2 linked regions of the Stegostoma tigrinum genome follow. The protein of the gene in region 2 purifies or fractionates together with the protein of the main gene of each other region. This does not show direct contact. Links are inferred from orthologs where the notes say so. Each region holds a gene or a part of one and is shown on either strand. Other genes may lie near its edges. The genes, in order: flvcr1 and tmem9b.

What was found.
Region 1: the proteins of tmem9b (region 2) and flvcr1 purify together in Homo sapiens (co-immunoprecipitation; 3 studies listed by BioGRID and IntAct, counting the BioPlex papers as one, with this or other methods). This does not show direct contact. The link is inferred for Stegostoma tigrinum from reciprocal best matches to the Homo sapiens genes TMEM9B and FLVCR1.

What each region holds. Positions count from the first base shown.
Region 1 is NC_081362.1:55,405,372-55,422,317, reverse strand, and holds the start of flvcr1 (feline leukemia virus subgroup C receptor-related protein 1), read right to left. Parts: upstream 9,591-16,946; 5' UTR 9,405-9,590; coding exon 8,778-9,404; intron 1-8,777.
Region 2 is NC_081370.1:28,109,360-28,126,552, reverse strand, and holds the start of tmem9b (transmembrane protein 9B), read right to left. Parts: upstream 7,027-17,193; 5' UTR 6,968-7,026; coding exon 6,881-6,967; exon of another isoform or gene 6,356-6,880; intron 1-6,355. UniProt on the Homo sapiens protein: Enhances production of pro-inflammatory cytokines induced by TNF, IL1B, and TLR ligands. Has a role in TNF activation of both the NF-kappaB and MAPK pathways.

The sequences.
Region 1 (16,946 bases), on a different chromosome or scaffold from region 2:
TATTTGAGCTGATAGTGGCTTCAAATCATATATTCCCACCTATCACAATAAATCTTTCTCTAAGAGGAAATGCTTGCCTCTCGGGGATTGAGGAAATGAAAAAGTTCTGAAGGTTCTACTGGAGGTTGGCAGGTGAAGACTGAAGTATACATCGCCATGGAGTTCTGTCTGCTCTCCAACCTAGATAAACTATAATCTAGGTGCAAATTAATCATTCAGCTTTAAAGATGGGGTGTTTTGGTCGTGAAAGGGCTAATAGCACAACTATGACATTTATTTTTCCTTTCTTTTTAACTTTTATGACAATCAATTAGACCTGCAGCTGAATGTATTTCCATCTACAAATATACTTCGCACTCTATGCCCACAAATATGTTCCACTGGGAGGGTGGGAGATATTGCAGCATTATGAGATTTATGATAGCCTGGGTTTGAATTACTAAGCTTCACTTGAAAACAAAATCAATGACTGACAGGACAGCAATTATAAAGGCGCAATAACAATAACATAGCCCAAGATCCATGTGAGGCTTAGCTTTGCTAAATCTGTAGCCTTTGATCGCTCGGTGTTGCACCTGTACTCAAGTATCCATTCAACACACCCTAATCAGCGAGGCCAGAGCTAATATTTAGTAATATTTCATATTCAGTCATTTCCTTAGTGGTCATTAACACAAATAAACTTGAAGATCTCACTTTCTCCAAGTAGCTTAAATATTAGCAGCCCTTTGCAGATGCGTATTACAAATGAAAATTCAAGTAACTGGGTAATACCAAGAGTCCCATTACTCTGCAGTGACGTATTTCAAAAGGCTGCCACACGAGCAAGAATTGGAAGGAAATTGTGGCACGGATAAATTTGAAGACAAACATAGCAAGATCTAACGTGCAAATGTTTAAAATAATTGAGCACAGATCAAGGCATTTAATTTCCATTTTTTGCAGCTTGTGCCCCAGACTCAAAGGTATTGTGATCCTCTAGATCATAGTACAGTCGTCACATTTCTGAACAAGTGACGAAAGCTGCAAGGATGTCAGTACTAACCCATTAAATCAAACTGCTCTCAGTTGAGCTATCTATTGACAAATAACTTAAAGGTCTACTGAAAGATGGCTTCAGCAGGATACCAGAAAGAAACTGGTATTTGTGGATTCATACTTAGGTTGGCTGTTAACTAACTTCACAGCTAACCTACAAGCACCAAGTTGCATACCTTCGTTATGGGGTGTAATGTGCCACAACAGTTAGCCCTTAATGGCAACCTCTATTGGCACTCAAGAAAGAGGAGAGAAACCTATTAAGTCCTTCGGTAACTGCAAATAGAGTAGAATTCAAAATGGAGAAGAGAGATTTACCTTTAAGTGCCCTAAAAAGCAAAGAAAAAAACAGGATTGGGAAAACTTCATCTGGAAGTGACAAGATCTATTGAGAGGTTTCTGCTAAAAAGCTCAGTTGAAATAGCCAGTGATTACAGCAGCAGTGGAAAAGTCTATAAATGGCATATAAGCCTGGGCACAAAAGTTCTCACCGCTGAGTAGGTAGTGGCAGTGGCTGGGTACTGCACCATACCAACATTGAAAATAATCTTCTGGCAACCTTTGGAAGAAAAGATCCAGGTTGTCAAAATTCCAGTGGTTAGAGGATAATCAAGTTAGGTCATATTTTGGTCTGTCATTTGCAGTGAGGTCTCCTCTCCTACCTGCAGCTCAGAGCCCACAAACTTGTAAATTGTTTTTGGAGAAAAGGGGGAAATGCACATCTGGCAATGACACGTCCACATTGCTCCTGGGCTGCATTTTATCTCTAATTTGCACTAGATAAATGGCAATCCTTCTCTACCACCCTCTCTTCACATCTATGCTCATTTTATCTGCACCGCTGTTCAAGTTGATCTTATATTTAGTCCCCTCAGCTTGGGGCAAAAAATAGGGAATTATTTTTTTCCTTTTCTGGAAGAAGTTAATTCTTCTGGAACATTTGTTCAGGCAATACCCCTTGAGTGAATGTAACTTGACTATTTCTTCTTTAATGTGTAATTGGAGCTTCATTTTATAAACAAAAATATTTTAAAAGGCCACATTATTGTTTCCCAGAGTTTTTACAAAGTCTGACAACTGTGTGTTGATCCCTTCCACATCAATCCCAAAAAAATTGGACTTTTAAAAGAAAAAGTGCATTGACAAGTTTGCATGATTGTAAGTGGGTTAAAAAAACACTCTGGAATGAAGTACATTCGTTTATATTGAATTCACAAGAACATCTAATTCAAATGGGATTATATTTATACATTCAAAGGTATAATAATCTGTACATTTACCTGTATACTTCTGATGTTATTGGTATAGATATATGTTCTATTTGAAGCAAAACGGCCAACAAAAACAGGCCAGAGCCACTTGATGTGCCTCTTATGTGTTTAGATTGCAGGTTTCTCACTCAAATTGACAGGAGGGTGCATTAATGATCTCAGATAATTTTGGGTTTGCAGACATGCAATTAGAGCATACTTGACCTGCATGATGAACTGGCTTAAAGATTTCTAGAAGACATTTGATAAGATACACAAAGGTATTTGCAACAATGTTTACAGTGTAAAGGGTAATGTAGTGGTGTGAACAGATGATTGTTGGCCAGCCAATGATCAGCATAGGCATAAACTGGTCATTTTCAGGTTGACAAAACGTACAAGTGATGCACTACAGTGGTCAGCGTCACGGCCTCAACTTCTGACATTTTGTATAAATGGGATATGGGAACCAAAGGTATGTCAGCCAAATTTACCGATGGCAAAGATAATGAGGAAAATAAGTTGGGGAAAGGATAAAGAGAAGGTAGAGATGTGGCAACTCGGAGTTAAAACATGGGAAATTGTGAATTTTTCATTTTGGCAGCAAGGATAAAAAAAGCAGCATATTATCTCAATGGCGAGAAGATTACCGAGTTCCAAGTTCGAAGGATCTGGATTTTAAGACCAAGATTTGTAAAAACTGTACTATGCAGGTATAGCAAGTAATTGGGGGAAAAAAAAATCAGATGTTAGCATTTGTGAGAATTGAATCGAACAGTAGGAGACTGCATTTCAGTTATACAAGGCACTGGCTAGGCTACGCTACATCTGGGGTACTGCTGTAAATGCAATGGAAGCAGTTCAAAGGTTCTCTAATTCCGTCTTGACAAGTTCAGAGACAGGATGGTTTCTCTTGCATTCGATCTTAGAGTTAAGGCGACTCTTTAGTATGCAGTCTTGTGCTTCAGAAAGGCACTTCAGTAATAGAGTACAGTGTGCCTGGTTCCACTCATGACATGATCTTCGCATATCCTCATTGAACTGCATTTGCCCTCCTGACTTGATAAGAATGGAAGATTGAGTGATATGTTTAGCTAAGATTACAGACTGCAGAAGAGAGATTTTCTGCTGATTACCCTCAGAATCTCAGACGTCCAGCTTCAAATAGCTGCATTCTACATTTTTCCCCACTTTGCAATAGTGCAATACAACACAACAAAAGATGTCTCATTGTGCAGATGCAGCATAGTTTCCAAAAGGTCACTGCAGTGGTCTCTCTGGGCAAATGCATCTGCAGTAGGGATACAGATGAGGTGGTGGTAAAGTATTCTAACCACCTGCTGCATTTCCAGTCTAATAGCTAGGACTTTCAAAACTTGGGTCAGCAGTGCTGCTTCCAAGGTATTCTTGATCATGGGCATTAATTATCCTAAACTCTTGGTACCTCTTCAGCCTTTGATACCTCAATACTTCTCCATTTTGAGCACAACTTGGGGGTGGTACTTAGTGAAGAATATAGGAAGTAATAACATGAGGTGGCCTGAACAAATACAAAGCATCTCAAAAAAACTCAGCAAGTTCTGCTTTTCTCTGTGGAAGTTACCGTGGAGTCCAGCAACCCTTTGTCAGAATCCAACCAGTACTGTTGAGGAGTCATTGAACTTGAAATGCGAGCTCAGTTTTTCTCTGTACAGAGGAGGCCAGACATCCGGCCTGTAGCAAGAACAATGCTAATACTCCCAAAGTCAAATCTCTACTCAAGGCAGCCCATTTCCCGTTCCCAATTAAAACCAATGTCATAGCATGCTTAGTCTCAGTCAGTGAGCAAGCCCCATCAACCCAGGAGAACAGCTGAGCATGTAAAGATTGTGTCTTTATATTTTCTGTATTTCCTGTTTGTGGACTAAAATGAGAACTGTTTTAAAAATCAAAGTCTTAAGGATACTGCAGTTTTTGGAAGCAATAATGTGACACTGCTGGTTCTAGTAATAGTTAAAGTATAGCTTGCAGATGGGCTGGTGCAGAAGCATGTGCATAGAAACGGAGATTCAGTAAGCAACTGATTATCTGTGGAATAGTCACCATTTATCGATGAAGGTCTTACGTTTGGCAACTATGATCAGTTCTCAAGTAGCTGAACAGCTTGGTACTACGAACAAAATAGAGACAAGTTACAAGCTCAAGAGCTCTCTGCAGTCAATGCTACCGTAAGAAAACCAGTTTACTTTTCCTCCAGCAGGTGCTGTTCACTGTGATTTTCAATAAAGTCAGAGAGCTTTTATAAGTGTCAACCAGCCACCCATATGTACTGCAAGCCAATGAAAGCAGATCAGCAGGACCGAGAAGCAGCATTTTGATCAGCACAAGAATCATCTCAGCAGGTCCTGTGAACAGGGGCCACTGACCTGCTTTTCCAAATTATCCCTCTGCCGGGACTTTTTCCCCATCTCTGTGGGCGTATGGGCTGCATTCATAAGGAGGAGGTTTAGAGAGTGGTTAGTTTTAACAAGTGGAATTTATGCCAACGGATCATTTTATTTGTAGCTATAGTTTACTTAATTGTAATTGGTAATCTGCACTTTGTCAACCTGTATCTAAAGAAATAACAAACAGGGAAATTTTACATACTTTAATAACACCTGTAACTTTTACGAAGACTCCACAAATAGTGGGGCTTAATTTCTAACACACAAGAATGAGACGTGATAAGAGTGGGAGTGAACATACACTCGACTTTGTAGAGTTGGGCAAGGTGGTGGCGGTAAGTATATAGTATCAATACACTACCTCAGTTAAGCAAATCTTCAGAATAAAGTCAACTGATAGGAGTAACCCAATTAAGAATAACCCTCGCTAACAAATGTGTTAAATCAATTGGATTGCAGTTTGACTAGTGACAAATGCACACCCAATCCTAGTATTGAATCCCCACTCCAAAATCCTTTTGTCTCAAACTACTGAATAGTTAAAAATAAAATTAGTTTTTACTGATTATTTGAGTTTTGATATAGATGTGAAAGAAGGATGTCTTCAATTTTCTGCAGATATCCAGAGGTCACTTCTGAGACTTCATTATATGTGAAAATCCAATCTCACCTCACTTGTGCAGAACTCTCAAATAAATGCAAGGGCACTCATAAAAGGAGTATTTAAGTAGATTTTGTTAAAACAATTGCATAAATGCACAAAGAGATCATCTGTTGTACTTAATTGAAGATAATTATAACATCAAATATATAAATCATCATACAGTAGGAGTGGATGACTGAAACATATAATATTGAAACAGAAATGCTAAAAAACCAAGTAGCCCTATGATGCATGCACAGGCAATGCGAGGCACACAACAATTAAATTCAGAGAGCTCATGCCCAGGATACTGAAACAATTGAATAGATCCTCTTCTGATCACTGTGACTCATTCCTATTGAACATTTACATGCTGAAACCTAGTGACAGGGACCAGTTATCAGTTAAGTTCCTGAATGCTATGTAGTATTAGGGAGCTCTGTGTGCTGATCAGTACTTCGTATTCTATTTTTAAATAAACGTTGTTCAAAAGGTATCAATGACTGAATAACCTACCACACCAGCCATAGCCTATTGGCATCTTTGGACACAAATGAACAGCTTGTAATGTGACTAGATTTGCCTCTATGATAACATGCTGTCAGCAGTAGGTATGTCATTAATGTGCATCTCACTATTTGGCTCTGTGATACCTGGAAAAAAAAATTCAGCTTCCAGTTTGAACTAAAATCTTTGCTTGTTAATTCTTGCAATGGGCTGGGTGACTGTGGCAAAATCAGGTGTAAATCTGGCACAATCATTCAACTATTCCCAATAGACTTCTTACCTCACTCAAGCTGCATGTAGCACTGATATCAGGTATGCAAATAAAGTATGGTGGATAGCATTTGAAATGCTGCTGAAGAAGTTCCATTATTATATTGTTCATAAACTCTGTAAAAAAGATCAGCTGCCTGGATTTGGGAGCTAATTTTAAAAGTATTGCAAGGAGGTCAAGTTTCAAAAACTGTGGCTCCAAACAGTTTGTCAATAGCCATGAGATGTATCATTCAATTGAAGCTGGACACCATCAGATTCTAATGCTCATTTGTTATAGGCACGCTTGTTGAGTAAGCTTGCACTTACCCCGGTGTCTATCATTCCTTGCTTAGGTATATTCAGCACGTTCATTTCAATCATCAATGATCTGGATAGATTACTTGACAGCATCACATTCATCACCTATGCAGCATTAGGGTCTGGATGGAGTGATTATCGCCCTCTGGCTGTGTTGTTTAGTACACCATCTTCTGAAGTCTTGGGATTCCATCTTCCTTACAAAACTGTCCCATGATTTAGAATGACAGGAAACTGCAAAACCATTTTGGTTAACGCATAATAATCTGATTTTACCTCTGAAAGGGAAGGATCCTTTGTGTACTACCACTGGAATCATCTGAAGATGCTATTTTGTTCCTGGGAACTCTACATAGACTGTCATGAGACATGCTGTTTATGGATGTTATTACAATGGCATGCTTGTTCTATGCCTGAAGTTTGCAAGTCAGAAGTTTCCAATGTTCACTCTATACCCAGCATGTCGTGATGGTACTGCATTTTAGAATTCTCGTGCAGGTTCTAATTCATGAATATTAGGAAGATATATGTCTACTACCTCACTCAGTTTGTCTACCTGGCCTAAACGTTTTTTCTTCAGCACAAAGTCTGCTCATAAGTTTCATACAGTTTGCCTCACCTTTTTCTGATACTATAATATTAAAAACAGAATGGCATACTTGTTAGTCCCGCCTGAAGTAATCAGAAAACTCAAATCGTCTGAATCCGTTTTCTCCTTCAATCCAAGACCTGATCAACATCTGTATCAGCTGGAAAAATGATGGAAATCCTTGTTGCCTTTCCTTGAGGACTTTTTTTTTGTTTTAAAAGGGTATTTACGTTCGGCAAAACTGCACAGAAATGTTCTGGAATTGTCCTTTCATAGAGAGTTTTTATTTTTCAAAGTATTTAAGAGAAAATAGAAGACATGTTAAAGCATACACATATAGTAACAAAAATGGCAGCTCAAATGAATAGCAGACACCAAATACTTAGTGACACATTAAACCCCCAGATACCAAAAGTAATATTGGGGGGTAAGAAGTGAGGTGTGGGGTAGTCAGGAAATAAAAGGCCTGAACTGAAATGGTCTCCATTATCAAGAACACTAAATAGAGGGCAGTGCAGGATGACAAAGCTACCACTGCCCAATGGCAAGGGGTGGGGGGTAGCTTCTGCCAATTCGCTACCCATTCAAAAATAACGTCAACCAATCCACGCCATAATCTCAAAGTATAGATAAGAGGAGGAGATCTGGAAATAATCAATGAAAAATTAAAAAAGGTCAAGTCAAGTGTTAATACGCAGACTTAAATCATCAACAATTGAAACAGGGCAGAATTTTCACTGAACAAACTGGCTTGAATAAATTAAGACCAGAGTTTCAGGAGCCACTCTTCCAAATGGAAAGGATACACAACGTGTGCCACAAAAGCTGCCAATTTCAGACTGCCTTGATGCCAAAGAGTTAGGCTGCAGTTCACCACAATGATAGTTTGCTTTCAGAAAAAAGATAAAAAGGGGCTGTCTTGTGCAACATTGCCGATGTCTTCAGTGACTTCTTTGTCAAGTGTAACGAACGATGGAATGAGATATCAGTTACAAACGTATAAGTGCATGCAAGACAGGACACCATTTTCTTCTGCCAAGTTCTTAACTATAACTGCCATTTTTTGAAGGTTTCCTGCCTGAATCACTACGTGATGAAATCCACATAAAATGAAGTAAAGCATGCGTTTGACTGAGCAACGTGTCCCAGCTCGGAAGGGAGTAAATATGCATTTTAAAATGCAAAAATATGCTTAATTCATAAATTACCTATAACTAGCGCTGTCGGATAAGCCGGCATCCTAGCCGAAAAAGAACGCAGCGGAATCTAAGATAAAGACAAGTTCAAATATTTGCGAATAAAAATAAACTCAAGGCCGCCAATTTCCTCGGGGGTGGGGGGAGAGGAAGAGAATAAATCGGGCGATTAACGGGAGCTCCACATCTACGTGTTGGACTGTTCGATGGGGATTCAAGTTGGTCGGTCTTGAACCACGATCGGGTTACAGGACGGGGAGGAAGAAGAAACGCAAACAATAGCCGGCTCGGCTGCAGCACGGTTTCTGCAACACACGGTAACCCCCGGGGTGGTAAAGGAACGGAGCACGAAAAGGGAGCGGAAACGTGCCCAGCGGCCCCAACGCCACGACGTGCAGGACACATTGGTGCAGCGGCGGGAAAAGGACGAAGGAGACGGAGCGGCTGCCGCTCGTCCGCCCACCCGCTCACGCCCCTCTGGAGTCCAGGAGCGGGGGAAATTCCCAAGCCCACCCCGCCTAATTTCAGATCCCCACCCCCACACTTGATGCTCCTTACCTGATTGCCCAGGACGGCGGTAGCACACGCTGTCGACACCTCCTTGGGCCCGAACCATACTGATGCTACCCTAGAGGGCAGGCCAAGGATAAAAATCTGAGCGATGGAGCAGACCGTCTGGGCGAACATGGTCACTCCGAACAGGTCCTGCCTCACGCTGGCGATCTTAATCCAGGCTCCGATGCAGTTGAGGCCGGAGCCCAGTAGCGCCACAGTCCGCAAGCCTTTCTTATCGAGCAGCCAGGCGGCGGGGAAGATGAGGGGGACGTAGACGAGCATATAGACCACCGAGAGCCAGTCGATCTGCTCGTAGGAGACTTGGTAAAAATAACAGAAGATGTTGGCGATAATGCTGTACTGGATCCACTGAAAGGCGTTCACCATGGAGTACAGGCTGAACACGATCAGAATGACGAACCGGTTCCAGTAAACGCGTGTCTGGATCGGCTTCACATCGCCGGTCAGCATAGCCTCCCTCTCCTCAGGGGACCTAGCACCTTTCATGCATTTTCCGTCCTGCATAACACCATCTATATGGCCAGAAAGACCGTTTATAACCACTTCTCTAGCGCAGGCGGTAGGAATTGCCTTTGTGACAGGGCACACAGTTCCATCGGCATCCACCATTGTTAGCTTTTGTTTTATTTTGTTAATACACAAAATATATGGTTTTTATAACCCACTGAAAAACTAAAATATATTTTTATATGTTACACGTTCGATTTTCTTCGAAAAAAGTAAGATTGTAATTCGCAAATAGGAGCACGTATTATTCCTAATTGAAGATGTTTCCTAAGCGAATGAGAGCAGCTCCGAGATGCAGTGGTTTATGAAGCCGCCTCACGCATTCCACGAAGGCGGGGTGATAATTGACGTCGCTTTGGTCCAGTAGGGGTTCGTATCAGGGAGGCACGCATGATTGACGTGGAACATAACCAATAGTCTACCACAATAGGAAGGGCAATGCAAATAAGGCGTTCCTTGACCAACCGGATCTCGATATCGGTGACGGAATCGACCAATCGCATATAGTGGTAAGGCGGGACCGTAAGATGATTGACACCTATTCGACCAATGGGCTACCGGACATCGTATCGATGTGGAAAATGCGCAATCTTCGCTACAGAAAATTTATTTTTTTGAGAATATCAAAATATTAGCAAGGACAAAGAACAAATCCACTTGCTAATTAGAGAATTAAAATTCAATAAAACTTCAGTTTAATCCGATCTGAAAAAATAAGAAGCACAATGGAACTCGTGTCTTGGCTTTCAGTTAAGCCAATTGAAAAATCTGCTGATGTGACATCATTGTTCCGCTACGGTTAGTTTGGGGAAAAAACTTCGAGATATCTTACACAGGATTTTAAATACCCCATAAACAGCGTGTGTTAAAATTATCATGACATGTTCCACATTGACACGTTTAAATGTTTTAAATGTCTTTTGTTTTGCCTTTTTCAAACTGTCGACATCTATTTTCACAAAATGGCTGTTATTGTCATGTGATTTCATATCCCCTTGACTCCCTCAATAGCAAAAATGATTAATAACCACCATTTGTTTGAGATATATCATGTAAGCATAACTAAAATTCAAAATACCTGTGCTTTTATTGCAAGCCGAATGTTGAACAAAGTCTGGAACATGATTTTAATGCGAGGTCTTATGGCTAAAAATGGCACACTGAGGAATGATCTGGTAGTCAATAAGTATTCAGTTTAGATATGATGCCAGTTCAATAGGAAATTTCTCACGCTGTTTTTGCAATGCTGTAGATCTCTTTTAGGAGTAAACTGCACTTATTTCTTGTTACCTTTTACTCTGAGCAAATAATAAAACTACCCAAACAGAGAATGTTGGATAAACTCAACAAGCCTGGCAGCGTCCGTGAAGAGAAATAGAATTAACACTCCAAGTCTGGCATGACTTTTCTCTGTTTCAAATTTCCAGCATCTGCAATATTTTGCTTTTGTTGAATTAAACTATACATCTTGCTACCAGGTTCAATAAAATTCTGCAACAAGGACAGCAGAATAAAGAGCCATGTACACATGTTTGATGACACACTCTACACTGGATAGCACAACAAGTAGTATTAATGGAAACAAAGTTACAAAGGGGCATGACCTGAATAACTGCACAAACAAAACTGAATTCACTGGGGAAATATAAGGTTATCAATGAAAGACCTAGGGAAGCTAAACAGTAAGAACCCAGGACTTGTGGAAGAGCAAAAAAAATTCAGAAATCTATATACAGAGCTCACTAAAGCTATAATGGGCAGTGTAATGTATCCAAGAGGCTGAAGTGCAAAGAAACGTCAGTTACGTATGTCAAGAGCATTAGATTGCACTACATAAATTTAGGCACGATGTTTCAGGAAGGATAATACAGTGGACAGGGGTGTTGGAGAGAAAGGGCAGGAGGTACAGCACATATTCACCAGAATCACTGAAAGAGTTAAATTATGAAGACAGTAAAATCTAGGCTCATGCTCCCTTGCCTATTGAAGATTAAAAGATGATCTAAATTAGGTTTAAGGTGATTAAAAGATTTGTTGGCTAAATAGAAAATTGTTCCTCAGTTGAAATAGTCCAATTAGATCTAGGCGAAGTTAGGAAGCACTTCTTTTTGGAAATCTGGAACACATTCTCTTAGCTTTGAGATCAGATAAATTGAAAATCAATAATCAACATAGATTGCTCATGAAGTGAAAATGACCAGAATTTGTAAATTGAGATCTAATTATTTGGCAAGATGATTGAGGGACTAAATGTTCATATTTTCTTCCTATGACTATTATTAGCCTACTATATTGCAATATATTAGATGCAGTATTTGGTTTCATAAGCATATAAGAAATAAGTGTGTAGACCCGTATGGTCAAACCTACACTGCTGTTTAATACAAAAATAGCTGAACACTTACATGAACTTTACATTGCTGAACTATCCCAAACCTTACGCACAAAAATCTGTTGCACAGATAATATTAAATATAATCATCAGCTGAGTGTTTCGAAGAGACGAGAATGCCAAGAATTCACAGACCTATGAAAGAGATGTTCCTTCACAGCTTTGATTTTTTGGAGTCAGAGTTATACAGCACAGAAACAGACCTTTATTCCAACGCACCTGCGCCAACCTGGTACCCTAAACTGATCTAGTCCCATTTGCCAGCATTTAGCCCATATCCCTCAAAACCCTTCCTATTCATTAACCCATCCAGATGTCTTTTAAATGTTGTCATTGTACTGACCTATACCACCTGCTCTGGTAGCTCGTTCCATTAACACACGACCCTCGGTGTGAAAAAGTTCCCCTCAGGCCCCTTTTAAATCTTTCCCCTTTCCTCATAAACCTGCAGCCTTGGACTCCCCTACCCTGGGAGAAAGACCTTAGCCATTCATCCTATCTATGCCCCACATGATTTTATAAACCTCTGTAAAGTCACCCCTCAGCAAAGTTCCAGGGCAAAAAAAAACTCAGTTCAGCCTCTCCCTTTAGCCTAAACTCTCCAATCCTGTCAACATCCTTGTAAATCTTTACTGAACCCTTCATGGAAGCTCTGTAGCCTACAGGTAGTTGTCCTGTAACATGATAGTTGCATTCTTGTGCGGTCTTAGGCTGTAGAAAATCACCATAAAAAATCGCGTTAAAGAGAATTCGCTATTAGGAAATCTCTATACTGTGTAATAGAAAGTTCATGTTATCCAAACAGCATTCACTATTCCTTAATTGTACTAAAGCCAATTCACTTTAACGAAACGTATTATAGCAGGAATATCTATCTAACATGGTGGATGGATCTCACATCCAGAAATCCAAACTCCATATTCAGCTAAAATCATTTTTGCCACGAAATGAAAAAAGAGGATGGTACATGACTCATATCTGGGGCAATCCAGAACTCAGCAGAGCTTTTAGACACGACACTGAGTTCAAACCTCAGCCCTTTAAAAATGCAAATGAAACTGCCTGGCAAGTGTACAAATATACTGTTCTAACATTTCTTCAGCAGTTTGTTGACATAGTCCTAAGTGCCATCAGAGTAATATTAACAATGCTTGACTGCTTTTCACAAACCTCCATTTTAATAATGAAAAGTTATACATTTACAGCTTTGACAGCTAAAAGAAATAGTTAAAGGATTAGCTTTCTTTGATTTGGGTTACACATACAAATGTTTGGGTTTTTTGTAACAATTTAGAAAGTTGGTGGGAATTAAATGCATTGGACAGTCTTCCATTGATGCAAATTTTTTTACATGGTGAAGTAAGTACTCCATATTTTGAACTTTATTTGATTTCATCCCAATATGTTGGATTCCTAGGTTGGCATATGGGCTATTAAGAACCAGGGGGATGGGTTGGCTTGAGTTGGCACTACCTTTGTTAGGAGACGTAAGGAGCCATGGAGGTGGATGAGGGGGTGTGGGTTTTTACTAAGTTGGTATTGAGGCTACATGGGTCCATAAGTGTCGTAGGGCATATGAGTTAGCATGATTTGGAACTGTATTAGTTTAGTGGCTATAAGGAACCATGGAAATGAATAGGAGACTTGGTTTGTGACTTTGGTTTAACCCCTAATGAATGCTGAATGGCCATTTGTTAGGTGGGATTAATTTTGTAACCATGCAAAAGTGGCTGCTAACTAAAGCAACTTCAGACAGGCAGTACAAGTGGCTCCAACATTGGAAATGTGGCAAGAGGAGCATATGAGTTGCAGGGTATTCCAATAAAAGTGGACACCCTAGCCGGTCAACTGAACTTGGGGAATGCCACTTGAGTGAAGGCAATTGCATAACCTAACTCAGGATGTATCCTGAACAGAGGGACTTAGGTCAGCCCACAGCAAAACCCCAAAACAAAGCCAAACCTCAGCCAAAGGATTAAAATTTTCTTCAGGATCCAGGCGATCAAGTCATTCCAAGTGCTTCCATAGCATTTCGTACTGTAACGGCTGTTTCAGTAATCACAGAACCAGCCTTTAACAAAATTCGCTTTGAAAAGCTGGCGGGGACAGTCTGGAATAAACAGGGAGAGAGGGGGAGGCAGAACCCTCTCCCCATCCCCCTCTCTGATGAAGGGTCTAGGCCCGAAACATCAGCTTTTGTGCTCCTGAGATGCTGCTTGGCCTGCTGTGTTCATCCAGCTTCACACTTTGTTATCTTGGATTCTCCAGCATCTGCAGTTCCCATTATCTCTGATACAAGACTGCCATTTGGGTTATCATCAGCCTGTACAATTTTTGAGCAGACAATGGAAACAATTTGCAAGGTCTCCCCTAGGTTGTAATTTATCGACTCTAAGGGGCACTGAGAGAACTTGGGCACAGTTCTTAGACATTTCTCCCAGGCAGGCATATGCTTTAGAAGGGAAAATTTGTGTTCCAGGCATCTCAAGTGAACTACTTGGGCTAGAGTTGACAAAACTGGATCACACCCATTGGAAGATAAACAGAGGGTGTTAAAAGGCGCCCTGGCTCCGACGTCTGTACTGGAGCTCATGTCTCATAGGTGCCCACTCAAAGTGATTGGACATGCATAGAGTTCATTTGTCAAACAAGGCGATGACGATACAAAACCTGCATGCACCTTTTGCAATATACAGACTCCTGGAAGTGTTAACCATTGAAAATGACCCATTTTTGCCAGCAGGGAATTTGAGTGTTTCCTATAGTCAAATGACATTCAACATATAAGGACAGCTTCATAGCATCCATCGTCCAATGGTCTGGCAGAAAGAGCAGTCCAAACTTTAAAGGCAGACTTAAAGAAACAGCCTACAGCTTCACTAGATACCAAACTGTCCTGGTTCCTATTTGATTATGGGACCATCCTTATTGCAACTCCAACAGAGTTGCTAATGAAATGAAGACTCCACATCAGGTTAAATCTGATCTTTCTGAATGTGGGTGGGGGGTGTTAGTGAAATGGCATCAGGAACATCAATGCCAGACACAAGACTCCACTAACCATGGGTGATAAGGGACGTACTTTTATGCAGGAACCATGGGAATGTTCCTGCATGGTAAGAGAAGTGGTCAACGTGAGTTCAGGTCCAGTAGCGTACAAGGTCTGGGGAGGTGAAACAGTTTTGAACAAGCACATGAACCGTATGAAAGCTGCAAACACGCAAACAGTGCAGGACCAAAACATACCCATCTTGTCAGAATAATAAGAAAAGCTGGCAGAAACCCTGGTTTCTCACCCTCTGACAAATGTTGAAGAGACCTTCGAACCTGAGATGGACATGGTAGATGTTGCCACCTGAAGAAGAAGATGAATTTCTTCTGAGACACTCGGGATGCAAGAGGTAACTATTGTGTGTTACACACTGCCCGTACCCATGTCAGAATCGGAGGAACCTGACCAAGGGTTAGTGTCCCAGGAGTACCTACAAGAAAATGAACTGGCCTATATCCTCAGATTGAGAAGGCAAAGGGTATAATGATTGTAACAAGGTCAGCTAGCTGGATCCATAGAATATGAGTTCCCTGACTGGGGCTGTTAATCTGGTCCAATCAGAAAATAACTGGTGTGTTGGACATCCAGATATCGAGAGCCGGTTCTAGGGAAGCTAAATCAGTGTCAAGGACTTTCCACATGTAAAGAAAGAGTAATTTAGTGATGGGATGCCAGCCTTTGTGCAGTTATTTCTGCCTCCTTCACTTCTGCCAAGTGAGTAAAGAAGTAAGTACTCCTATTTTCTAAACTGTTTATGACATACTCAAATGCATTCACTTATCCACGGAGGAGGGTAACAAAAGGCGGATTGAAGTTAAACTGTCAAACTAAAATATACTGTTATTTGCAATTGTAAAAAGAGTCCTATTTAATTGCTTTCCAAATGTTTTCATTCCATTTTTGCCTTTTATCATCGATTAACAATGACCCAGATTTTCCAGTCCACTGCCACCTACAAAGTTTGCTGCACCTTGATGAAATTACAAATTTTCGAACAGAACCTCTAATCCGTGCTGAAGCAGTTTTCCTGGTCCAGTAAGTACAGAAGAGTTGATGACAAAAGAAGACATACTTTTTTAGGTAGTTCACTGCCATATTCAGGTATATTGGTAAAAGCTTCAATTCTTTTAATAAATGGATGAGAGAGTGAATAGATGGATTGTGGAGTTGGCAATTGAGTCAAATCTATGCTGGTTAAGGGGTAGTGAGTTGAGGAGGTAGTTCAGATGATCAGAGGCAGTCAGGTCAGGAGGATTTTGTAGATCGATTGGGCATTTGGGTTGAGGGAATAATCAGGTCGAGTGTCTGATTGGTTGAGTCAGGTGGGTTGTCAGGTTGGGTGGGTAGTTGGCTGGTATGTACTCGGGTTGGATAGTTGTGCTAGGTGTGTGTTCAGGTTGGGTGGGTAATTAGGTAAATAAAGCAGAGATAATGGGAACAGCACATGCTGGAGAATCCGAGATAACAAAGTGTGCAGCTGGATGAACACAGCAGGCCAAGCAGCATCTTGGCCTGCTGTGTTTATCCAGCTCCACACTTTCTAATCTAGGTAAATAAAGCAGTCATGTTGGTGAGGTGGTTGGATTGTTGGACTTGGATTGCTGGGAGTGGGAGAGGGTGTATGGTTTGTTAGGTCAGGATAGAGGAGGTGATTGAGTATGGTCAGTTGTGATGTTCAAATCTGTAACGTTGACTAATCATGGTATTAAATCAGGTATTAACCTGCTTAACATTTTCTTGCTAAGTATCCATTCATGATTTTGAATGCCTGTCAATTCTCTCCCTAACCTTCCTTGGTCTCTCAACATAACTGAAGATCAAGTGGGCATTGGGTTTATTTAAGTCATTGGATGGGTGGGCACTTGGGTTGTGTGGGGTTGTTGGGTCAAATGTGTGATTGTTTACCAATCGAGTAAATCTCCTCTGTATAAAGTTTTAGCATAATTTTATTGTTTTAAGTACACATACTCCTAATTATAAAGTTAAAAATCCAGTACACCTTTTATAATATTTCTCAACTTGCCTTCTACTTTCAAAGATTTGTGCACATCTACTCAAGTCTCTGTTCAACTCATCTAGTCTACTGTATTTGTTGCTCACAAAGTGGTCTGCTCTACAGTGGGGAGAAAAAACAGAGTGGTTGACTGCTTTGCAGGACACCTATGTTCTATTCACAAAAATTACCCTGAGCTTCCTGTTG
Region 2 (17,193 bases):
AATTTGGAGGCCGAGTCTGGGATCATTACCTAATTTGGGAATTCTTATAGAATTTAAAATCCACAAACAAATATGAATACTGTGACTTACTGACATTGAGGCTGATTCATGATTTCCATGGTGAATTCTACGATACATATTGAAAATCAAAATGGCTCTTAGTTGCTATGATTTTTCTGGAAAGCGAAGATTTATCCGAATGACTTGCAAACATTTTCTGAGGCCATGCTATTAGTAAAAAAAATTGGACGTAGAACTAAAAGCTATGACTAAGAAAGCAAATATATTTCAAGTAAGAACACCATGTCTGAAATTGTAAGAAAAGGTGTCTACCTCGAGTAGAACACAGTTCAAGCTGAATAGAATTCAGCTACAAATGAAGTGATTTGAGATAGAATGAGAGAAGCAAAAGATGAATTTCAACTTCAAAGACAGAAGAGTCAATGAGTCAAATGCCTATTTCAGGTGGACAGACTGGATAAACACAGGGTGCAAACAACCAATTTGGAATTCAATCTGAAGTTAATGCATGCCATACACAATACCGTCTGTCTGTTCAGAAAAGGGTGCTATGCAATCAGATCACTTAATTATATTCTTACAACCTCAGTAATAAATTCCCAGTAAATTGTTAAACTCCTCAGATTCTGAGGCACCAATGAGACAAGGGGAAAAAAACTACAGACAGCAACATTTTCCGAAACATTCTGTTTTTTTTCAATCATTATCAGCTCTATACCTGTTGCACAATGCAGAAAGGCATGAGGAAAATAAAGAGATAACAAGGTGTGGAACTGGATGAACACAGGTCGCCAGGCAGCATCAGAGGAGCAGGAAAGCTGACGTTTCGGGTCTGGACCCATCTTCAGAAATGGGGGAGGGGAAGGGGGCTCTGAAATAAATAGGGAGAGGGGGAGGCGATGATAGAAGGTGGATAGTAGAGCAGAAAGGTGGAGAGAAGACAGACAGGTCAAGGAGGCAGGGCTGAAGCTAGTACAGGTGAGTGTAGGTAGAGAGTTGGGATGGAGATTGGTCAGTCAAGTGGGAGGAGTGGATAGGTGGGAGAAAAGACAGACAGGAGGCAGGGCCAAGAGGCAGTGCTGGTCTTGGGATGAGGTCGGGGGTGGGGAGATTTTGAAGCTGGTAAAGTCCACGTTGAGACCATTGGGCTGCAGGGTTCCCAGGTGGAATATGAGGCGCGGTTCCTCCAGCCTTCATGCATCATCATGACACTGGAGGCGGCCCCGGATGGACGTGTCATTTAAGGAGTGGGAGGGGGAGTTGAAGTGGTTCGCGACTGGGAGGTGTGGTTGTTTGTCACGAACTGGGCACAGGTGCTCCACAAAGCGGTCTCCAAGCCTCTGCTTGGTTTCCCTGACGTAGAGGAGGCCACATCAGGAACAGCGGATACAATATACCACATCAGCAGGTGTGCAAGTGAACATCTGTTTAGGTGTGGAAGGTTTTCTTGGGGCTAGGGATGGAGGTGAGGGGTTGGTATAGGGGCAGGTGTTGCACGTCCTGCGGTTGCAGGGAAAAGTGCCAGGGATGGTTCACTAGTGGGGAGTGTGGAGTGGTCGAGGGAGTCACAGAGAGCGCGGTCCCTCTGGAAGGCAGATAAGGGTGGAGATGGAAATATATCCTTGGTAGTGGGGTCAGATTGCAGGTGGTGGAAAATGATGTGGTGAATCCAGATGTTGATGGGGGTGATATGTGACAACAAGGGGAATTCTGTCTTGTTATTGCAGGGAAGGGGTGTGAGGGCTGAGCTGTGAGAGACACACGAGATGTGGATGAGGGCGTTTTCGACCACTGTGGAGGGGAAATTGCGGTGCTTGAAAAACGAGGACATCCGGGATGTCTGGGAGTGGAACGCCTCATCTTGGGAGCAGATGCAGCAGAAGCAAAGGAATTGGGAATTGTCTCTGCCTGCTCCTGCCCCACCAAACCTATCTCCACTTATCTCAACTCCATTTTCTCCCCCCGGGGTCCAGGAACTCCCCACCTACGTCCTTGACACCACCCATAGCCTCCACCTCCTCCAAAACCTCCGATTCCCTGGCCCTCAACACCTCATCTTCACCATGGATGTCCAGTCCCTTTACACCTGCATTCCCCAGGCATAAAAGCTCTCCGCTTCTTCCTCTCCCGCAGGCCCACCAGTCCCCCTCTACCAACACCCTTATCTGCCTAACCGAACTTGTCCTTACTCTTAACGACATCTCCTTCAACTCCTCCCACATCCTACAGATGAAGGGGTGGCCATGGGTACCCGCATGGCCCCAAGATTTGCCTGCCTCTTTGTAGGATACGTGGAACAGTCCCTCTTCTGCAGCTACACTGGCACTATCCCCCACCTCTTCCTCCGTTACATCGATAACTGTGCCGGCGTTGCCTTGTGCTCCTACGAGGAGCTCGAACAGCTCATCCACTTTACTAACACCTTCCACCCCAACCTCAAGTTCACCTGGACCATCTCTGATACCTCTCTCCCCTTCCTGGACCTCTCTGTCTCCATCTCTGGTAACCGACTGGAAACTGATATCTATTTCAAGCCCACTGACTCCCACAACTACCTGGAATACACCTCCTCTCACTCACCTTCCTGCAAAAATGCTCTCCTCTTTACCCAATTTCTTTGCCTCATCTGCTTGGATGACATGTCCATCCTGGGCCTCCTCCAGTGCCACAACGATGCCACCCGAAGGCTGGAAGAACAGCACCTCATATTCCACCTGGGAACCCTGCAGCCCAATGGTCTCAATGTGGATTTTACAAGCTTCAAAATCTCCCCACCCCCGACCTCATCCCTAGACCAGCGCCCCCTCTCATCCCTGCCTCCTTAACCTGTCTGTCTTTTCTCCCACCTATCCACTCCTCCCACCTCCGACATCCTACCAAATAGCCTCATCCCCAACTCCTTGACCTGTTTGTCTTCCCTCCCGCTTACCCATCCCTCCCTCCTCACTGACCAATCCCCATCCCAACTCTCTATCTACACTCACCTGTACTGGCTTCATCCCTGCCTCTTTGACCTGTCTGTCTTCTCTCCACCTATCTGCTCTACTATCCACCTTCTATCATTACCTCCCCCTTTCTCTATTTATTTCAGAGCTCCCTTCCTATCCCTCAATTCTGAAGAAGGGTCCAGATCTGGAACGTCAGCTTTCCTGCTCCCCTAATGCTGCCTGGCCTGCTGTGTTCATCCTGCTCCATACCTTGTTACCTCAGACTCCAGCATCGGCAGTTCCTACTATCTCTCATGAAGAAAATAAAGCTGCTTGGTGCCTATCTAAACAAGTGCAAAATAATTATTAATAATTGATCGGTCAAGTCTTTAAAATTAATTGCAATTAGGAATTTAAAAATTTATCATTGAACCAAAAGCTAACACTAATAAAGCAAATCGGAAATTAGCTAGATAAATTACAAACTAGGAAGTGAAAGGAAAAATATTACTGTGCTTGTTTATCTTCATCATGACTCTTCAGATAGTTAAGCTGTCCATGACAATCTGAAAAATATTCAGCTTGGGCTGATAAATGGCAAGTAACATTCTTACCGCACAAGTGCCAACCAATGACCATCTCCAGCGAGAGATCTGATCAGCACCTCTTGACGTTCAGTGGCATTAATATCACCGACTCCCCACGATAAACAGAATCATACAGTACAGAAACAGACCTTTCTGTCCAACTCATCCATGCCGAAACTAAGTTTACCAAACTAAAGTAAACCCACTTGCCTGCATTTGGCTTACTTCCCTCAAAACTTTTCCTATTCACATATCTGTCCAAATGTCTTTTAAATGCTGTAACTGTGCTTGCATCTACCACTTCCTCCAGCAGTTCATTCCACACACGAACCACCCTCTTTGTGAAAAAGTGCATTCCTATCTTCTCAGATAATGATGCAGTCCATGTCCTCATGCAGCAAGACCTGGGACAATATGCAAATTTGGGCTAACAAATGGCAAGTACCATTCATGCAACAAATACCAGACAACAACCACCTCCAAGAAGAGGGAATTCAACTATCATCCCTGAATATTCAATGTCATTACCATTGCTGAATCCCCATTATCAACAACGTGAAGATTACCACTGACCAGAAACTGAACTTGACTACCCATATAAATGCATGGCTACAAGAGCAGGTGAGAGGCTATGAATATTGTAGCAAATAACACTTTCCCAAATGTCTGTCCATCATCTCTAAGGCACAAGTAAGCTGTGTGATGGAATATTCTCCACTTGCTCTAATATTTAAGAAGCTTAAGAACATAATCCAGAACAAAGCAGCCTGCTTGACCGGCACCATATCTGCAACATTGGTAGGGTTCAACAGGATTACATGCTCAGACTATCCTCGTTCCTCATTTTAAAAAAGTGTTGACTTTTTTTGCTATTTAGTGGTAACATTGCCATTTGGGTATCCTCCTCCAACTCACATCACAGTGGAAAAGCTTTAGAGCTGCATGAATGATCTGGAAGAACAGGAATCCCATTGGGTTCCATAATGTTAAATTTCTGAGAAAGCACTGTACACTGTTCTCCGAAAAGAATGAAGCATACGAAAATTCATGACACCTCAGATGAATATCTTGGACATGGCATGTCAATTACATCATCATCAGATAGCTTGGGCAAGTACAAGACCTCTGTGGAAGCAAGTATATCGTATCAGTCTGCAACCATCCAATCATGGAATCAAGGTGAAAAGATTTGAGTGTGGGCGTTGAAGCGTTAATAACAGCAACGAATCAATTTTCAGTGGCAAGTTATATGCCTTGCAGTACCATTGCACTATTAGAATTATCAAATGTAATACCTGCAAGAATTGATTTTTAAATGTATTCAATCTTGTTTCAAGGCAGTGCAGGAAATGGTAATAAAATTTTAATGAAATTAATGCGCAGTATGAAATTAAGGGCAGATTCATTTCAAATCAATTTCTAAACAAATCTTCAAGCGTTTGTTGTACACAGCAATATTCTATGTAGCTCAATAGGAACTTGATATTGAAATGAACAATTCAGGTTGTTTATATTTTTGTATAGTTTTGTATGTAAAGATCGATATGACATTCAAAATACTTTCTTCACTTCTTCAACAAGTTTTAAAAGGCTTTTCATAACAAGGGTTCTGTGGTGTAAAGATGAAAATATAATTTTTTTTTCAATTGCTTAAAATCCTAGAGTAGATGGGATGTACACTATTTGGGTAATCAAATCCACTTTAAAAAAAGAATCTTTAATTCTTAAATCTTGTTTGTTTACTCATCAAAAATAAATCACAAATCAGAATGCTAAAACATTTTTCAGTTTGTGGGTTTTTTTAAAGAAATACTGGACTGCTTGAGAGAACAAGCTTTAACAAGTGTCAACTACATCACTTTTTATTTTAAACTGTTGGATAAACAGGAACAGTTCTTCCATTTTTTTCATTTTAATACAAAACATTTATTTCATGTTTCATTCCAGGTGTAACTTAGTCTTTCAGCAGTTAGAAATTCAGAACACTTGTCTGAATCCAGAAAACAGGGTTGTAGATACTTTCTAATCAACCTGCTCAGAGACGTTGAGCAGACTGGAATTCTGGAACTCCACCTCTGGAGCAGGTAGGACTTGAACCTGGCTCTCCAGGCTCATAGGTAGGGACACTAGAACTGCATATTAAAATATGTCTTGGTAACGAAGTGATTTTTTTCCCATGTTTTCATTAATTACTTGGGAAATCTCTTCTTACCTGACATGGTAGACTTCTTCCATACTGTCTCTTCTCCAGTGTTGCTCTGCCTTTACACTGGCAGTTTTTCTATATTAATTTTCTATTTATCAACTCACAAAGATTACACTTTCTCACAGAACTCCAGCGTTGGATGCACCCCACTTAAATTTTAGGCAGAATATAGGTAAAATATATTTCATCAATACTCTGCTTTTTTTATTCCTAGACAATTAAATCAGGCTTAATCCCAGTCATTTTAGTGAAATTAACTACTTTCCAGTTGAACACGTTTTACTGTTAGGTTCCCATCCAAAATTAAAGAGCAGCCAAATCAATTATATTTACATTTCCTACATTTGGGTCGCTTAAATACCCAGCTTTAAAACAGGCAGATAGAATTAAAAAAAGGATTGTCTTAAAGATGCTAATTCACCAGGAAGTAGCGGTTAACACAATGAGGATATTAAAATGCAACTGTAAACTATACAGAGTAAGTTTTCAACACTCCATCAAATAAACTCGTAAAAGTTATCATCTCAGCTATAAAATTCATAAACAAGTCACAGATCACCATTTGTGATTTCCTGCTGCTGAATTTGGACGTCACTTCCTAAAATCTACGGGACTATTAATGCAACGCCGAAATCCACAACTGTGCCAGCGGATATCATTTTCCAACAAACAGTTCCACAAACGTATGATTTTATTTGATTCTTAAAGATCAATATCTACTTAGAATTTATACCTTTGAATGAGGCCTCTTTACTTTTTAAAATGATTAAGAGTAGAAATAAATTTAAAAGAGATCAATTTGGAGAGTTGTCAACAGTGACATTACTGGTCAGATGAGTGACCCAGCCTGCAAAATGTTCAAAGGAAGCTGTATTTAGGGTGGATCGCATTTAGAAAGCAAAGCAAAACAAAGCTGTCAGTAAGACAGAGCAGTATGGTAAATTACACAGACTAGCACCGTTAGTGACCAAACGTGTGGGTTCCGCCTCCACTCATCACCCGTTCACACTGTGTATGAACCCTTGATGACTTGGGCCTGAGGCCACCGACCCTCCGTTTAGCAGCAGAGGACTATTTTCCCGGTTCAGCGCCGCTGGTACATCCATCAGCGGTCAGCTTCCTCACTCATTCCTTCGTACCTTGTTCTCCTCGCTCCTCGCCAGCACAAGCAGACACAGCAGCAACCAGAGGGACAGAACAATACTACAGCCACAAGCGCCCGCCATCTCACCACCCAGCGCTCCCTTCCTCGTTGTCGGGGCTCCCTCTCCTGGAGACAGCGTTTCCCTGGTAACCGACTGGCGAGTACGAGATCAATGCCTGAGGCCTAGTCCGTCGGTGTGTCTGAGGAGGGAAGACCGGACAGCATTTTGTCTTCAAGAACATGTACTGCCTATTTTTTTATTTTTATCTCTTCTTTATTGTTAAAGGTGAGACAAAAGGAAGAATGAGTTTTCGCTGTTTTAGTTTACACCAGTTTATGTTCGCATTGTTATTAGAGTCAGCGCCGCATAAGTTTTCAGCAATCGGAGCCTATTTTCATTTATAGGGATAACAAGGTGTAGAGTTGGATGAACACAGTAGGCCAAGCAGCATCAGAGGAGCAGGAAAGCTGATGTTTCGGGCCTAGATCCTTCTTCAGAATTGCATTTCTGAAGAAAGGTCCAGACCCGAAATGTCAGCCTTCCTGCACCTCTGATGCTGCTTGGCCTGCTGTGTTCATCCAACTCTACACCTTGTCATCTCAGATTCTCCAGCATGTGCAGTTCCTACTATCGCTGAAGCCTATTTTCATTTATATCGTTTATCAATATCTAAATAATAAATGGTGTACACGGCCCTACTACCGGCGTCTCATTATTAAACCTTTTACAATTTAGTTAATGTTGAGATTCTCCAAACAGCAATGAATGAAAGTTTGCAATGAGACCTATTACAAATTCCTTAAAATATACTGTGTATGTTTACTTTTAACATGTGTCAAATTCAGTCAAAAATCCAAGGTTGATTATAGCATTCCAAATTAGTGGTTTGCTACGTACAAGTCCAAAAAATGTGGGCCAGTTTGTGTTAACTATGGACAATACAGAGTACAGTGCTACAGCATAAAGGCTAGCAAACACTGTGAAAACCGAAAGAGACATATGGATTTCAAAACATCAACCAAAATAGGTGCAGCAGTTGAAATAAATGTACCGAATGTTGCAGATTTCCCATAATGTGTAGCTCACCTTGTTAATTATTGTCAATTCATATGTGTATGCAAAACAATTTCCAAAATTATGTTCCTTTATTAAAGGGTGGTAGAGCAAAACAAGTGTAAACAAGCAGTAACATTCACATGTCAGCTGTGAAATAATTTAACTGGTATGAGATATGCATGATTCAGCATGAGTTAGGAACAATAAACATTGCTAAGGAGGTTATTTCGTTCAATATATAATTTTGTTAAATGTCAAACCAACTTGCAGCATGTACCTGAGAAGTTGAAACAATGATTAAGATTTCATTAAAAAGGCACACCTTGAAATTTGTTAGCTTTGAGATTCTTCCTGGAGCTGGTTCCATCCACATGGTTCTTGGTCTTATAAACATGCAACCATATAGAAACCAGGAGCATTGAAGTTTTTGAACCTACCCTGCCATTCATTACAATCATGCTGAGCATCTATCTCAGTCTACGTTCCCACTTTCTCATTAAATGCTTTTAATGTCTCTTATGTAAAAAAAGAACGTTCTTGAATATATTGACTTGGCCTCCTCAGCCTTCCATGGTTAAAAAGTTCCAGATTCACAACCTTGTGAGCAAAGAAATTTTTTTCCTTATTTCAATCCTAAACAGTCTACTGCGTGTCCCAAGACTGTGATCCCTGGTTCACACTTCCTATCAGGGAAAATAATCTGACTGCATCTAGTCTGCCCAGGTCTGTTAGAATTTTATACTTTTCAATCAGATCTTCCAAACTCTGGTGAATGCAGGCTCAGTCAAACCGGTTTCCCATCATACAACAGTCTTGCCATCCCCAGTTTCAGCCTAGTTAATGTTTGCTGCACTCCCTTCAATGATAAGGGTATCCTTTCTTAGGTTGAGAGATCAAAGCTGCACAAAATACTCCAGGTGTAGTCTCACCAAGGTCCTGTACAAATGCAGTAAGGCATCCTTACTTTGTAATTTAAATGCTCTTGCAATGAAAGCCAATATATCATTTGCCTTTCTAATTGCTTTTGCACCTGCCTGTCTCCTTCCAATGACTCGGTACAAGGACACTCAGATCCCTTTGTGCATCCACTTTTACCAATATATTACAGTGTAAATAATACTTTGCCTTTCTATTTTTCACACCAAAGTGTATGACTTCACATTTACCCATGTTGTACAAATATGCCACATGTTTACCCATTCACTCAACTTGTCTAAATCACCATGTAGCCTCTTTGCTGCATTGTCAAAACTCTCAATTCTACAATAACATGGTGTGGAGCTGGATAACACAGCAGGCCAAGCAGCATCTTAGGAGCAGGAAAGCTGACATTTCGGGCCTAAACCCTTCAGATTTTCTGATGAAGGATCTGGGCCTGAAATGTCAGCTTTCCTGCTCCTAAGATGCTGCCTGGCCTGCTGTGTTCATCCAGCTCCCCACCTTGTTGTCTTGGATTCTCCAGCATCTGCAGTTCCTATTATCTCAATTCCACCCAGTTTGTGTCATCAGCAAACTTGGAAATATTGCATGTGGTTCTTTCAACCAGGTCATTCATATATGTTATGAATAGCTGATGCCCAATTACTCATCTTTGTCGTACCCCAGTAGTCACTGCCGACCATGTAGAAAAGACCAATTTATTGCCACTCTGTGTCCTGTGTCAACCAATTCTCAGCCCATGCTCCCAATATTACCCCCAATCTCATATGCTTTAATTTTGCTCACTAACCTCTTATAAGGAAATTTATCAAAAACCTCTGAAAATCCAAATACACATACCCTGGTTTTCCCTTTTCTATTCTATTAGTTACATTGTCAAAAAACTCCAGTAGATTTTTTTAGGCATGATTTGCCTTTCATAAACCCATGCTTGCATTGTCTAATCCCATTAATGCGTTCCAAATGCTCTGTTATCATGTCTTTAATAATGGACTCTTGGTGTTTTCCCACGGCTGCTGTAAGACAAGTGGTCTGTAATTCTCTCTTTTTCACTCCTTTTTAAAAGAAAGGTTACGTTTACCATTCTTCAGTCTCTAAAATCTGCTCCAGCGTCTCTAGAATTTTGGAAGATGACTATCATTACATCTAATATTTCCATACGACCTTAACAATTAAGAACAAGATTACAAAGTGTGTAGCTGGATGAACACAGCAGGCCAAGCAGCATCTCAGGAGCACAAAAGCTGACGTTTCGGGCCGAGACCCTTCAGAGAGGGGGATGGGGAGAGGGAACTGGAATAAATAGGGAGAGGGGGGAGGCGGACCGAAGATGGAGAGAAAACAAGATAGGTGGAGAGGAGAGTATAGGTGAGGAGGTAGGGAGGGGATAGGTCAGTCCAGGGAAGATGGACAGGTCAATGAGGCAGGATGAGGTGGAAGGTAGGAAATGGAGGTGCGGCTTGAGGTGGGAGGAAGGGATGGATGAGAGGAAGAACAGGTTAGGGAAGCAGAGACAGGCTGGGCTGGTTTGGGATGCAGTGGGGGGAGGGGAGATTTTGAAGCTTGTGAAGTCCACATTGATACCAACGGGCTGCAGGGTTCCCAAGCGGAATATGAGTTGCTGTTCCAGCAACCTTTGTGTGGCATCATTGTGGCACTGCAGGAGGCCCATGATGGACATGTCGTCTGAGGAATGGGAGGGGGAGCTGAAATGGCTCACGACTGGGAGGTGCAGCTGTTTGTTACGAACCGAGCGGAGGTGTTCTGCAAAGCGGTCCCCAAGCCTCCGCTTGGTTTCCCCAATGTAGAGGAAGCCACACCGGATACAATGGATACAATATACCACATTGGCAGATGTGCAGGTGAACATCTGGGTGTCGCAGAGAGAGTGGTCTCTCCAGAAGGCAGACAAGGTTGGGGATGGAAAAATAGCTCGGGTGTTGGAGTCAGATTGTAGATGGCGGAAGTGTCGGAGGATGATACATTGTGTCTGGAGGTTGGTGGGGTGGTATGTGAGAACGAAGGGGATCCTCTGGGGGCGGTTGTGGCGGGAGCGGGGTGTGAGGGATGTGTTGTGGGAAATGCAGGAGACGCGGTCAAGGGCGTTCTCGACCACTGCAGGGGGAAAGTAGCGGTCCTTGAAGAACGTGGACATCTGGGATGTGCGGGAGTGGAATGCCTCATCCTGGGAGCAATTGGGGTGGAGGCGGAGGAATTGGGGATAGGGGATGGAATTTTTGCAGGAGGGTGGGTGGGAGGAAGTGTATTCTAGTATTCTTGGGGGCCGCTTTACAGAACACGTCCACTCGGTTCGCAACAAACAGCTGCACCTCTCAGTCGCGAGCTATTTCAGCTCCCCCTCCCATTCCTCAGACGACATGTCCATCATGGGCCTCCTGCAGTGCCACAATGATGCCACACAAAGGTTGCAAGAACAGCAACTCATATTCCGCTTGGGAACCCTGCAGCCCAATGGTATCAATGTGGACTTCACAAGCTTCAAAATCTCCCCTTCCCCCACTGCATCCCAAACCAGCCCAGCCTGTCTCTCCTTCCCTAACCTGTTCTTCCTCTCACCCATCCCTTCCTCCCACCTCAAGCCGCACCTCCATTTCCTACCTTCCACCTCATCCCACCTCCTTGACCTGTCCATCTTCCCTGGACTGACCTATCCCCTCCCTACCTCCCCACCTATACTCTCTCCACCTATCTTCTTTTCTCTCCGTCTTTGGTCCGCCTCACCCTCTCTCCCTATTTATTCCAGTTCCCTCTCCCCATCCCCCTCTCTGATGAAGTGTCTAGGCCTGAAACGTCAGCTTTTGAGCTCCTGAGATGCTACTTAGCCTGCTGTGTATATCCAGCTCCACACTTTGTTATCTTGGATTCTCCAGCATCTGCAGTTCCCATTATCACTCATAGGAACAAGATTAGGCCGTCTGGCCTTATTGCACAAGTACCCCAAGTCTCTGTGTTGCAGTTTTCTGTAGTTTTTCTCTATTTAGATAATACTCTGTTCTTTAGTTCTCCCCTCCAAAATGAACAACTTCACATTTTTCCCACATTATACTCCATTTGCAAACATTTTGCATACTTAACGTATCAATAACTTTCTGGAAGCTGTTATGTTCCCCTCTCTCAACTTGCCTTTACACCAGTTTTTGTACCATCTGCAAATTTAGCTACTGTACATTTGCTTATTTCCAAGGTAGTAATATATATTGTAAACAGATTCAGGGCTACTTCCTTTAGTATTTTGGGATGTCGATCATCAGACCTCGTGATTTGTTAGCCTTTGTTTCAATTAATTTCCCTAATATTGTTGTCTTACTCATACTGATTTTCTTTAATTAGTACCACTCTCTCACTAGCCCCTTAGTTCCCGAACATTTCCAGGTGGTTACCTGAGCCCTGTTTGATGAAGACAGGAGCAGTGTATGTATTCATTTTCTTTTGACAATTCTTAGTTCCCCATTCTAACTGTAAGAAACTGCTCCCAATTCTCAGGCTTTCTGCAAGTTTGTCTATTTCCTCTTTGGATCTAATATTATCCCTAATTTCTTTTGTAAGCCATAGTTGAGCCACCGTTTTTGTTTTATTTTTGCACCAGACAGGAATGTAAAATAGTTGTAATTAAATCTTTCAAATATTATCCATTGTCTATCCTTCATCAAATGGGGTGACTCCCAAAGCAGAGGCCACCATGAGGAGGTGAGTCCCAAACTGGAGGCCATCACGAGGAGATGGGTCACAGCCTGGAAGCTGTCGCAGGGAGGGAAGTCCCTTGTGGACTGTCAGCGAGGCTTTGAGTTTTGAAGGCTGGCATGGTCGGGATGCTAGGTGCTGGCACGGACTTGATGAAAAGTACTATAATTTGAGTACTTTTTAAAAAAAAGCTTTTTATTCTTATGCTGGACTTCAAGTAATTTGAGTACTTTTTAAAACCTTTGTATTCCTGAGCTAGATTTTACTTATTATTCTTTCAATTCTGTAACAAATACTTAAGTATCTATACCTAGGTATCCTGTATCTATGATGGCGCCGGCATACGTGGTGACATTGCAAACTTTTCACTGCATTCGTTTGAGTGCACGTGACAATAAAGCTGATTCTAATTCTAACCCTTTTCATAAAATTTTCCAGTCCGTCCTTGCTGAATCGCACCTCACATCCTCGTAGTTATTTTTACTTAGATTCAGGCCCCTTGTTTTGGATTCAACTATTCACTATCCATCTTAATGAGGAATTCTGTCATGTTGCAATCAGTCTTTCCGAAGAGATCCCACACAAAATGATTGTAAAAATTAATCCTTTCTTGTTACTCCATACCCATTCTAGAATGGCCTGTGCTGTGTTTGGTTCTACAAAGTATTGGTCTAAAAACCTGTCGCACATGAACTCCAGAAAATCCTTCTCCACAGTATCATTGCTAGCATGTGCTGAGCCATAGTACATTTGTGGCAGATATTACCTCAACTAATGTTACAACCAAGTCTGGAAGATTGAATAAATTCCTCTCGAACACTCTTAAGTTTGGCTACTAATGAGTTTGAATTTCAAAAATATGACTTTCTTCAATTCATTATGTCTTTGGCCACATGCAAAGTTATATGAAGAAATAAGGCAGACAGATGTTGAGTTGATGAAAATAAAGAGTTAGTTTTATTGTAAATTCATTCAAGTAAAGTATAAACTTATAAAAAGGGTGAAACAGATCCTACAACACACTTTGAGGTTCATTTGGCAATCTTGAAGTTCTGACGCTGCTTGGAATAATGTAATGGCCCAATTGCAGTTGTTCCAAAGATCATCTCTTTTAAACTAGTAACATCATTTTCCAGAACTATTGCTATAATGGTTGAAGTTCCTTTGGTATTTAATTCTTCTTTCTCTTTGATCCATCTTGCAAAAAACGTGGTGCCTGAATGTGGACAGCTGCTATTCCGATTCCATATTTCAGACCTTTTTGATTTTATTGCTCTCTGTAGCAAGCAGACAAGTTTATGATCATAGCTTTTTACAAGGGCACATTTGTGATAGCTGACTATTGGCATACAATGGGGACAGTCTGTATGAACAATCCATTTTCAAAACTATCAATGAAACTGACAAGGGAGTCTTTAGCGACCTTTTTTGCATTCTGATGGATTTGGTAGTTTTCCTTGTATGTCTGGTAGTTTCTGCAGACAAGATGTCAGTTGTTGAATGACATGTGAAATTCTGCAGGAGAACTGGCCACTTGTGCTTCATGGTAATCCATTTCAGAAGTATTTTGAAACTGGGCCACTCTTGTAGGTCAAGTGGCTTCTGCAGCCATTTCACAATACTGTATCTTAACCCATCTCAAGGTATTTTCTTTTGAGCGCAAGTCCGAAGTATTGAATCACTTGGTTCAGTTAAAGATTAATAATCCATATATCACAACTTTGAGCCTCTAAGTATCAAACAAAAATGCTACATTAACATAAGCAAGGGATTAGGAGGGCTATAAGGGGCTAAGAAATATTCTTGGCAAACAGGATTAAGGAAAATTCCAAGGCATTTTATTTGCACATAAGAAGAAAGAGGGTAGGTAGGGAAAGGATAAGTCCACTCAAACAAAAGAAAACAACAGAAGGAGCATTTCAAACCCAATATAAGACAGAAATAGATACTTAGCTTTCCATAAACAGGACATTATCTATGCATAGTATTCAAGCCAAATTGAAAATATATGTCTGTATTAAAAACTATGGGTAAGGCCTGTCCATGGAAGTCAAGGAAAACTGTATATGGGACAGTTTGCACAATATCAAAGCCAAACTAAAAACATTGAGGGCCGAAGGGCCTGTACTGTGCTGTAATGTTCTATATATGCTCTGCTAAAATCTATGGATAAGGTCTGGATCTGGAGGTTGAGACATATAACAGAATCTGAAATGTTACTCTATTTATACAATTATGAGTAACTGGTTTTCATGAAATCTAGAAAGAGTCTGAACAAGGGTCACTAGTTTCAAAATGTTAACTCTGCTTTCTGTCCACAGATGCTGCCAGATCTGCTGAGTTTTTCCAGTAATTTCTGTTTCTGTTTCTAATCTAAAATGGAGATAGATTGGACACATGCTAGGACCAAAAGTGACAGTGTTAGACCATTTGTGAGTTTACAGGATGTATAACAAAAAATTATCTGATCAGAATAGGCATCATCCTGCAAGATGTCTTTGATGCATCCTATTTCAGCATTAAGCTTGCATGATGAACAAGTGGCTTAGGCCCTAGTTGAAGGTTCTGATAATGTAGTATGTGGAACTGTAGGAATTCCAACGCATTTATTGCCCAATAAAAGTAGGCTTGTGGTATGCAAAGCTCAAGAGCCCCTGGCTGATTTCTCTGCTGGGACATCAAGGAAAGGGAGCTAGTTTGATTGATTGTGCGATGGAGCCTGTTAATACATGAAAGAAAATTCTTGCATCTATTTATAACTTCAGTTAAAGTAAATCTATGCCTTGTAAATATGCAAGGATAGGAAGTTGAGTATCAGTGTATTGAAGGCACATTTCTGATGGAATCCAACAAAGATGTTTGCAAGAACTCAGCCTAGAGGGCATCCCATAGCAATATTATTTATTTTGCCCAATGTGATGTTAAAACTGAACTTAATTACTGGTTGCTGAGTTCTTGAGATCATTGAATACTGATTCACACAATTCTGATCGTTCTAAATTGCCTTGACATAGTGCTCCATTACAAAAATCTGTGGCTTCCTTGAGAAGTACACTTTTGAATGGTTAGTAATCTTAAATAAGCACATGTACACTGTATTTCTATACATATGCAAATTCTGTATAGTCTATGCAAATGAAAAGGAATCCTTCAATGAGCTTGTGAAAACTGGTTAAAGCAATTCATTCAATCATTTGGCTAGTTCATATTGTGCAGACCTAGTTGTAGATAAGATAGGATGTGAGGGAACATAGAGTCATAGAGTCATACCATGATTTTTCTTGTATTTTCCTAATTGTGGATTGAAATAAAAAATGAACTGCTTTAAAAACCAAGGATTGAAAGTGAGTAATGTGATACTCAGTGTGAACTACGTACAGCTGGGGCTGTAGCATTGTTTGCTGATTAACTAGAGCCAAGGTGTTCTGTAAAATTAGAACTTTGGTTGGTTTTGGACTAGTGACCAGTTATCAATGACAAAACCCTTCTGCCTGCCAACAGCCATGTGTTTGGTTTTCAGGTAACTGAACAGCTTGGGTCTGGGATTAAGATACAAAGAAGCCACCAGGGTCTCTACCAGCCAAGACCTCTCTCTCTCTGTTCTGTGTATTAAGCCAATTTAAACCTGAAGGAAAACAGTTTATCTTTCATAATAAAACAGAACTACTGATACTGGAGATCTGAAACAAGAACAGAAATTGCTGGAGAAACTCAGCAGTTCTGGCAGCATCTGTGGAAAGAAAACAGAGTTAACATTTTGAATCTGGTTCTGAAGAAGAGTCACCAGATTTAACACTAACTCTGCTTTCTTTCCAATGATGCTGCTAGCCCTGCTGAATTTCTCCAGAAATTTGTTTTCATTCCAGTTTATGTTTCCTTCAGCAGTTGGTGTAAGCTGTGATGTTTAATTAACAAACCAGAAACCTTTTATAAGTGAAACAGTCATCTTGTACCTCTTGCAAACCAGTGAAAACATCCAACAAAAGACAACTAAGAAGCAGTGGTCTGACCAGCTCAAGAAATGTATGACACATCTCAACAGATCCTGTGAACAGGGACCATGAAACCCAGTAATACCTTCATCCATAACCCACTCTTTCCCCCTATCTATCTATCTGCCAATTTTTGTGTGTAAGGGAATATAGTTTCAGTTTGTAAACTTTAATGCTGATCGTTCATAGCCATTTTCCTATAGCATGATTCTAATTGCTTATAATAAATAGTAATTTTTGTTAAGTTCAGAAACCCGCTCTATGATTTCTGTCAACCTTGGTCTAAAAACCAGGTAAATTGAGGCATCTTTGGTACTTTTCAAAATATTTAATTTTTATGATGACACCAAGAATAGTAGGGCTTTATTGATTTCCAGCATGTTACCCCAGTGAGACTTGACAGCACCACTTTTTTGTCTTGCACAGCCCATAGACATATGGGTGCATTGAGCCATGAGGACAAACCCTATCAAATATATCAGCAGCTCGTAGCTCTTGCACAAATTCAGGAAGCTTGCATTGAGTAAAGCTACCGTAGGATCTTAGAATCATAGGGTAATACAGCATGGAAATAGGCCCTTTGGCTCAAATTGGTCCATGCCGATATTGGTGTACACT